2 linked regions of the Drosophila melanogaster genome follow. The protein of the gene in region 1 interacts with the protein of each later gene in a pairwise test. Each region holds a gene or a part of one and is shown on either strand. Other genes may lie near its edges.

Region 1 (4,645 bases):
GTGTATATTATTTTTCTGTTCGTCTTGTTTATTTTTATTATTTTGCGTACCTTGTTGGAAAAAATCGTTGGCTGTTGCAATTTATGAAATCTCTCGATATGCACGTAACACTAGTAATTGGGCAATAATTTAAAGCCGATTTGTGCACTTTTTCAGCGATTTTAATGCGGTTTTCCCGATTCTTATTGCTTCAGCGCGGTGAAGGAGAAGAAGAAGAGATCAGTTCGAGCAAAATGCTGGCAACGCTAGCGCCCGAAATCAGGCATGGCCCGTTCGTGGTCTGGCAACGCCGCGTAACAGCTGTTTTCAGCCGCATTTCGATTTTGTAACAGTTTGCATATATTTTCGTTCTATTTAATTTTTCAAATAAAACTATCGAAAATGCAAAGTGTAACACGTTTGCTGAGCACAACGCTGACTATACAAACGCCGTTTCGCACGGCGCCGGCGTTTCTGCAGCAATTGCGCGGCAAAACCAAAGTGGTGGAGAAACCAAAACCTGGTGCCGGACAGCAATTCCGACGAACCGTGCACTTTCCGGAGAAGTACACCGTTGAGCCGCTGAAGATCACCCATTTGGCTGGTCGGGATCCCGTCTCCGGTCGCTTGGTGGCCAAGGGCATTGGCGGAGGCATCAAACAGCAGTATCGCTGGGTTAAATGGGTGCGGGATGGTCCCACGGAGGGCGCCCAGGAGGAACTGGTACTCGAGGTGCTACGCGATGGCTGTCGCACCGCCAAAGTGGCCCTGGTTGCCGTCGGCGATGAGCTGAAGTACATCCTGGCCACCGAGAACATGAAGGCTGGCGATATCCTCAAGACCTCGCGCTTTATTCCTAGGATTCCGGGTAAATTTACTTACTGTTACTCATCGGGAGTATTAAACGTTTTCTAAGTAATCCTCTGAGTATAGTCTTAAACTGAGCATGGAATCTAGAAATTTTACTGGCTCTGAAACAACCAGTTATGCCAATATAATTTTTTTTTTTTGTATGATCCCATAGTGCGTCCCAACGAAGGCGATGCCTATCCATTGGGCGCCTTGCCCGTGGGCACACGCATTCACTGTCTGGAGAAGAACCCCGGCCAGATGTGCCACCTGATCCATGCCGCCGGCACCTTCGGCACCATTCTGCGCAAGTTCGACGAAAAGGTGGTGGTGCAGCTGCCCTCGAAGCGGGAGTTCGCCTTCCAGCGCACCTGCATGGCGACGGTTGGTCGCCTGTCCAACCCGGAACACAACAAGGAGCATGTGGGCAGTGCCCAGCGGATGCGGGAGATGGGCAATCGACCACGTTCCGGTCTGTGGAAGCGCAAGGAAGGCAAACACGGACGCAAGATACGCCGATTGCCGCCCATGACCACCATATCGCCACCGGCTCCGCCCAAGGAGGAGGCCATCAAGTTGACGCTGCCCCTGTGAGGTTTTTCCTTTAATTTCTATGTGTCACACAATATATAACTAGAACTAGAGATACAGAGCTATTTGCGCGTTTTCTTCATCGAGAAACCGGTGCCGTGGAAGCTCTCCGCATCGGAAGCGTCCGCATTGCCAGCTACGGCATCATCTTCTTGGCTTCTATCACTGATAGGCCGAATGTTGCGATCGAAACGGATGAGTCCAAACTGGAAATCATAGTCTGGAACGCCGCGGGCTAGCACCTTCTTAACGACCGGCGTTTCCAACTGGCTTTCCTTCTTCTTCTTACCATCGAGACGTACGCCGGAACCCTTGAAGGTCTCCACGACCTCTTCGAGTATGGCGTTGGTGGCTCCAGCGATTTCGCCGCCAACAGTTCCAGCAGCACCCTGCTGCCCAGAGCCCGATGCCTGCGTTTCGGAGTGATCCTTGTAGCCGACTGGCGCCTCAAATTCCACATTCATGTCGCACTCAATGATGCTGACTGCATTGCCGGGCTTTGTCTCCAGGACACACAGTTCGTAGACCTTCTTGTTGTACTTAATGGCTATGACATCGCCCCTGGTGAGGCAGGCAAAGTTGCGCAATGCATTCTCCAGCACCGCCTTGGGATTGGTGATGTCCAGGAAGTCGGTGCTGTGCGGTTGAAACTTTGAGAAGGTGGCCACCGGCAGCGAGACACTCTCGATGTTGAGTATGTCGCCCTCACCCAACAGCAGGTTTTCCATCATCCAGTGGGGTAGATAGCATTTGCCCTCGTCGGCCACAAACTCGAGTACGCCGGCATGCGAGGATCGCGATTTCTTGACGTTGGTCAGCTTGAACAGCATTGGATACTCGACATTCAGGCGGGTGAGCGTGTCCAGCGCCGAGGGAGGCATAATAACTGTGGATGGAATGTGTTGTTCACATAATTTCTGTCCAGCCTACACTCGTAACTCACTCTTTCCGCCCTTTTCCACGTCGGTTCGCTCGTTTCCTGGCAACATGGATACGGAGAAGCACTTGTAGTTGGCATGAAAATTGCGTCCCTCCGGGAACATCATGTTGAAGCCGCTGAAGTGGAACATTCTATGTGTGCTGGGCTCTCCGTGCCTATGGATTCTTTTCGATTTAAACTGCCTCAAATGACCCTTTATTTCTCAAAGGGGGGAGGCTAAAATTTTATCTTTTGTTTTATTTTTTTTTCTATTTTGTTTGTCACGGCGGGGGCAGTGTGACCAGAACACCATGTAGACGTAACTTTTTCGCCCACAGGTGGCAGCACTGTGTGGGGTTGCGGCACAAGCTAAGTTGTGGCACGCATATTTCGCTAAAATCCCAAGCGCGTGGCGTACAACAAAAAGTAGCAACTCGAGCTATCGCAGTGGCGAGTTATCGGCACATCTCTAACAAACCCAGCAAGCCGGTGGTTGCGCGCGACTTCGTCCCGCTTAAAAAAAAATTGAATAGACGGGTATATTGATTCGAAAAAGTGCTGCTGATCAAGTGAGTACCCATTTCGGGGCAGCAGCTCCAACTGTTTCCGCTACTCAAAATTGGCTGTCAGCAGCTGCGGTTTGCTGGTCAACTGCACCACTCGATCCTGGCGAGCTTTTTTGTGCGCGCGTGTGTGTGTGTGTGTGCAGGATATGCTGCCTGTATCCTTTTAGTCTGGCTGGCGCCGCGTGTTTTTCGCGTGGGTGTGATAAAAAAAAAGTGTGTATGTCGATGCCCACATGATTGCCAATACTTTTTTCGAACCAAACACACTAAGCAAAAGACCGAAACGAGCAACAAATGCAAAATGTTCGAATAGAAAAATCAATAAGCTGGCCAATCGATTGGTTGGTTTGTTCAAAGGCGGGGTGGTGGCCAAGTGGCTGGAAAAAGTGTTCTCCAGCTTCCAGGTCGAAAGATCTTTTACGACATACAGAAATACAGCAAAATGTATTGTTTTTGCCAAGTACAGTTACATTTTAAATTTTGCAAAACAGTTTGACAGCCACCGTTTTCGTGTGCAGCTGTTTTCGAGTCTCTGTTGTGGTTGTTATTGTTGCTTCGCAGCTGCAGCCACACCAAAAACAAGAACAACAACAGAAACACCGAACAGAAGGTGAAAAGAGCGAGAGGATGCGCACTCTCCCGCTCTCTTGTCTCTTCTGGCAGCTTCCAGACACTCCCCTCGCCATCATGCTCCCCACTTTCTTCGCCTTTCTTTCGCTCTCGCCCTAACTTCCCCACAACAAAGAGCCCCACCCCCCTCTATTGTGAAATTTACCCATCTTTTGTCTTTGTCATGTAAAACGTATTAAAATCGAGAGAATATGAAATTCCAGTGACTCACAAGCTGGCTTCAAATAATGAAGCCTAACTTAAGGCGTCAGTTGCATCCTTGCAAATTTTTGTAAATTCATTTAATAAGCGCTCTATGGCCCAACATATTCCAGTTTCCAAAAGTTTTTACTTATAAGTGGACTCACAACGATTTCTGTTTTTGATTTTAAAGATAACCTCTTTTCGAGAATCAAAATGTTGTTTATATTGCACTTCCGCTAAAAACTTAGTTTACTTTCTGTGTAAACTTATCAAAATTATTTATAAATATTTCTGGGAAAATCCACTTTTCGTTATCATGACACTTGCTTACGCTTTGCAAAGCTAAAGAAATATTGTGAAATGAAATCGCCTGCTCTTTTGAAAATTCAAATTAGAATACAATCGTTTATAGCCAAGTCGCACTGTGATGAGCAAAGTACTAAGGGTAGAAGAAAAACTCCGGCATCTTGTTGTGTACGTACAGTTTTTGCGTCTGGGAACTAAATTTAACAAGCGCACAGCCAACGAAATGGAGCAGCTTTTCCGATAAGCATTTAAACTTTAAAATAGCCCAACGACACAAGCAGCAAAATTCCCAAAAATCTGTGTATACGCATGCTGCAGAATTTCGAAGAAAAAAAAACATTTCGTTTTTCGTAATTTCCGAACATCAGATCTTTGCGCTTACGTCAAGCAAAGAAATTATACATTTTTTGTTTTCAGCACAACGTGATATCACGGCGTGGATTTCGTTTTGGATTGCTCTGGGTCATGAATGAGTTGGTTTGGGTTCAAAGTGGGCGGTGGGTGGCAGCAACCCCGCAAGGTCATAGCGTGTACACACTCGGCGCCGCACGGAGTGAGTGTGAGTGCAAAGTGGACCGATTCCCATTCCGATTCAATGCATCTTTCGCTCGGATGGCACCTG
Region 2 (4,163 bases), on another chromosome or scaffold:
TGGCAAAAATTTTAATTTTCCACTAGATTTGCGTGGATTTCCTCGGATTCTTGATTAGCATTTCCGCTTTAGCCCTGTTTTTCGCCATTCTATTTCGCTTCGCTTTGCTTTGATTTTGCCACATTTGTTGTGGCTAAAAGGATGTGGGAGGTGGTAAATTTATGACTGCATCTCTTTGAGGTTTCTCGTTTTTTTTTTTTTTATCTTTCTGTTTGCGTTTCACTCGCTTCATTTGGAAAACTTTTGCTCCGTCTCGATTTTCCCTGTTTCCCCCAGCGCTCCCCATTTTTTTTTCTCCCTTGTTTTCGTTCTTGTCAATGTCCTTCCCATCACCCCCCTCACCTCACTCGTCTGCCAAGTGGTATCAGCTCCTTCTTTTCATTTCGTTTCCCAGGCATATGACGGATATTCGTAGCGTCACCAACGACAGTTTGGGCGCGCCGATAAAATTACCAGCCAAGTGCTGCCCATTCGTCCTTTTTTCTGCCTCAAATGGGATGTCCTTGCTCAAAAAGAAATCTCTGTGTATCCCAAATATCCTAGTTGAATTTACATAATTACGAACCATAAACTTGTTAAATGGCTCAGATAGATTCCTTGGCAGTTCATAAAGGAATGTTAAAGTTAAATTAAGTGATAAGAATAGTTGGGGATCTATTTGTCCAAACAACAAATACACATCCCATCCTTGTTGCATGAAATTAGAATTTCATATTTGCATAAGCTCAATTCTAAGCAGTACTGAATAGAATATGTATATTTTCGTGGGCATCACTGCAAGGACGATGTCCTGCTGACAATGATGATAGCGGGAGATAGAAAGATGAAAACTCACATAATGGGTTATTCGCTATTCCAATTGAAATAACGAAATCAATACACGAATAGCAGCACATTCAATTCAGAGTCCTGTTTGAAGTGTAGCAATTGAGAATGGTGACGTGCTCCTCGTCAATTTGATTAATTCGCAGACTTTTGCCAAATGATATGGAAAGCCGCGGGGCCGGGATGGGGGCGTTTTTCAACTTGGCCGTGATTTATGGATGAGATAAAAAAGTCTGAATGCCAAAACTTTGCCCTCGCCAACCAGCCGCGCAACTCGGGCGAAAGTATTTTTAGTCGCGCGTTCTCAGGATAATGAGCGATGAAGGAAGCTGGGGACAAAACAAATTATAGCTGATACCCGTGGCAAGCTTCAAGAGGCATCCATATGCCAAATTGGCTCATTAGATGCCGGGCGAAATCAAATTAAATCGGGGCCCCTGGCAACGAAACACGAGAACGAGAATGAGTCGAGAGCGAGCCGTGGATGAGGATGTGGATGTGGACATGGATGTGGACATGGACATGGCGTCGATAGTGGACACTGGAGGCGCCACAAAAAAGAAAACCCGACACCAAAAGGCAATTTAAATCGACTGCCGACTAAATTATCCGTACTATATTTCAAAAGGGAGCAAAAGGAGCAGAAGTTGCAGGAGCAGCAGGACTACTCCCTGTCCAAGGAGCGCAGCTGCTCCTCGACAGCATTGCGGCACGCCTCCTCCGGTTCGGTGGCCTGAATGCACTTCTGGACGCCGGGAAACTCTCGCTTGAGCACCGCAAACGTGCTGGAGTAGAGCATCTTGTCCTTGATCCTGGCCAGAGTGGGACACCAGAGCATCAGGATTAGCTTCTCCTTCAGGCAGGTGGACAAGGTGCCCTGGCACTGGTGCTGATACTCATAGTCGTAGACAGCGAATCGGCACTGATTGGATCCGGCACGTTGCAGATCCGCCAGGAAGTCGTCGTAGTTCGCCTCCCTTACTCCAAGCACCTCCACCTTAATCTCCCGCTCGTCCTGGATGACGAAGACCGCGTAGCGATGTTGCTTCAGCTTCCGGATCTGCTCGAACACGTGCTGACACTCGCGGCTCAAATTAATTCCAGATGCCATGCTTGTTGATTCAGTGCAGCAGCCAAGATTTAGTCCACAGTTAACCTCCAGTCGGATCAATCGCAGTGCATTCCAGCGAGACTAGAAATTTTGAAACTTTGATTTATGTAGATATGTACGAAATCCAGGCGGAGACTTGCCAAATGCTTTACGCAGAGCCGACTGGATGCTCAAATTTCACACAGAGAGAAAAGTGAATGAAGAGTTGATTGAAAGGGTGTCATATCAATAAGGCGACAATACTTGTGAATATTGTTTATTTAAGTAGTCATGCTTTTTTAGAGCCCACCTTTATCTTTGAATTACAACGAATATGGTTGAAATGCAAGCTAGCTTAGATTTTACATTAATAGTTTAACAACGATGCGGATTTTTTTTTCACAGTGCAGCTGCAACTGGGCCATGAATATTTATGGCTTCAGCACCTTCTGCTCCAGAACCCACACTTTCCTGCAACCCAATCAAATAGTGATAAATTTAGAACTGTTTGTAAGCACTTTTGTCCATGCGAGGCAAAGGATGCCGCACATCCAGTGGATGCAACGCGTGTTTGTGCATGCAAATCTGCTAAATGCCGCTTGTGGCCCGAAACAATGTCCAGTTTGTGGATATGGGCTTGGCGTTACGAATATCGGATCTCTTTGTGGTTGAATTAATGCACCATTTTATTCCGAATGCCACAGCGACAGGATATATGTACATGTACACATTCGCACATATGCGTTTTGGCTAGCAAGTAGTTACGACATGCTGACTGACAGGAGCACAAAGGCGTTGGGCCGCAGGATGCAAGGATGCAAGGATGCAAGGATGCGAGGATGGCAGATTGAGGCAAGCTGCAGCTGGCTGCTTTCGGGGGGACTGGTCTTACCCAGTACCCATGACACGCCCGCTGGCAATGAGTATTAATGGTTTAAAGGGGCGCCCACTAGCTCAATGAATAAGGACATAAATGTCCATTAGTGCGGAAAATAACAAGAGTTGCCAGATTTATGTTAGAGCCAGATTCTTTCATAAGCCATTGTACTTTAAAATTAAATATGTCATTTGTTTGCCTTTGTTCAAACTTTAAAAGCAGACAATGGCCCATTTTCCCATCGATTGAGTTGGAAAATGTCACAGAGCTCGAGTCGAGTGCTGCGTTTGCCATGCACTTCATTTCCTAATTAATCTGCGGAATGGGCTTCGCGTTTTAACATTAAGGTCCTTGAGTTGCTCGTGACTCGTGGCACATGGACGTGGCATTCCGCCATGGTCGTGGTATTTCGCCATCAAATGAGTATCCATACTGAGTGAAAATGTATTTAACTTATCCACTTTAGCCCATAAAAAGCCGGCAAACTTCATTCCCATCGCATCCCATCCCATCCCATTCCACAACGCTGTCAAACGCTCGGCGCCACTTACAGACACTCGACAACTTCTGGGAATAGATAACTCGTACCACATAGACACTCCTCTAAGGACTCGAAAGGATCCCCGTTCTATGCGTTTTAAATTCAATGCGCTTTTGGCCCGGGCTCATGCATATTTAAGCTCTTTTGCCGTGTAATCAACATGTATGGCTTATACTTTTATGCCATTAAGAGCCTACCATCTCCTGGAGCGGGAAAATGGAGAGCGAGACAGAGAGAGAGAGAGAGAGAGTGTGTAAAACACTTTCTCATCGACAGAGAAAGTCCCCTTGGGGAGGTTGAGCTGTAAATTAAATATAAAATAACGTAAAATACACTTGAGGCAGCCGCAAAGTACACGGGAAGAACAACAAGTTATGGCCATGGTGGCACACTTTCTATACCAACACCCAACATACGTACACCCACTTTCTTCCGGAGCTTCAAAAGCCGCCCGGCGGCCATTGTTCAACGGAGATTTCGTTTTTATTACGCGTAAATGAAAGACATTTGTCGTTGAATGTCGACCAACTGGGGCGGGGCAAATGATGGAGGTTCGCCCTTCGCGGACGCAAACCACCCACCACCCACCCAACCGAGCACGCAGAGAAAAAGCACATAGTATATGTAATAGTTGGACTTTGTAAGAGGTTTCCAAGAAATATTCTACATTGGGCACTTTCAGAAATTCATAAGATAAACATTTAGCTGGAATAAATGCAATTCCCAGAACATGATAACCTTTCAATTTCGGGGAATTTATCATGTCATAATACAAACTAGATACATTTTAATTGAATTTTTCAAGTCATTTGAGATGCAAGATAAAGATG

The links.
Region 2: the proteins of Ufd1 (region 1) and CG6873 interact in a two-hybrid assay, tested with the Drosophila melanogaster proteins (one large-scale study listed by BioGRID).

Annotation. Positions count from the first base shown.
Region 1 is NT_037436.4:11,120,560-11,125,204, forward strand, and holds Ufd1 (ubiquitin fusion-degradation 1-like), read right to left. Parts: upstream 2,658-4,645; 5' UTR 2,490-2,657; coding exon 2,363-2,489; intron 2,306-2,362; coding exon 1,482-2,305; 3' UTR 1,423-1,481; downstream 1-1,422. Other genes in the region: mRpL2 (mitochondrial ribosomal protein L2), read left to right, coding at 382-847, 1,004-1,422.
Region 2 is NC_004354.4:18,737,789-18,741,951, forward strand, and holds CG6873 (uncharacterized protein), read right to left. Parts: upstream 2,108-4,163; 5' UTR 1,937-2,107; coding exon 1,490-1,936; 3' UTR 1,428-1,489; downstream 1-1,427.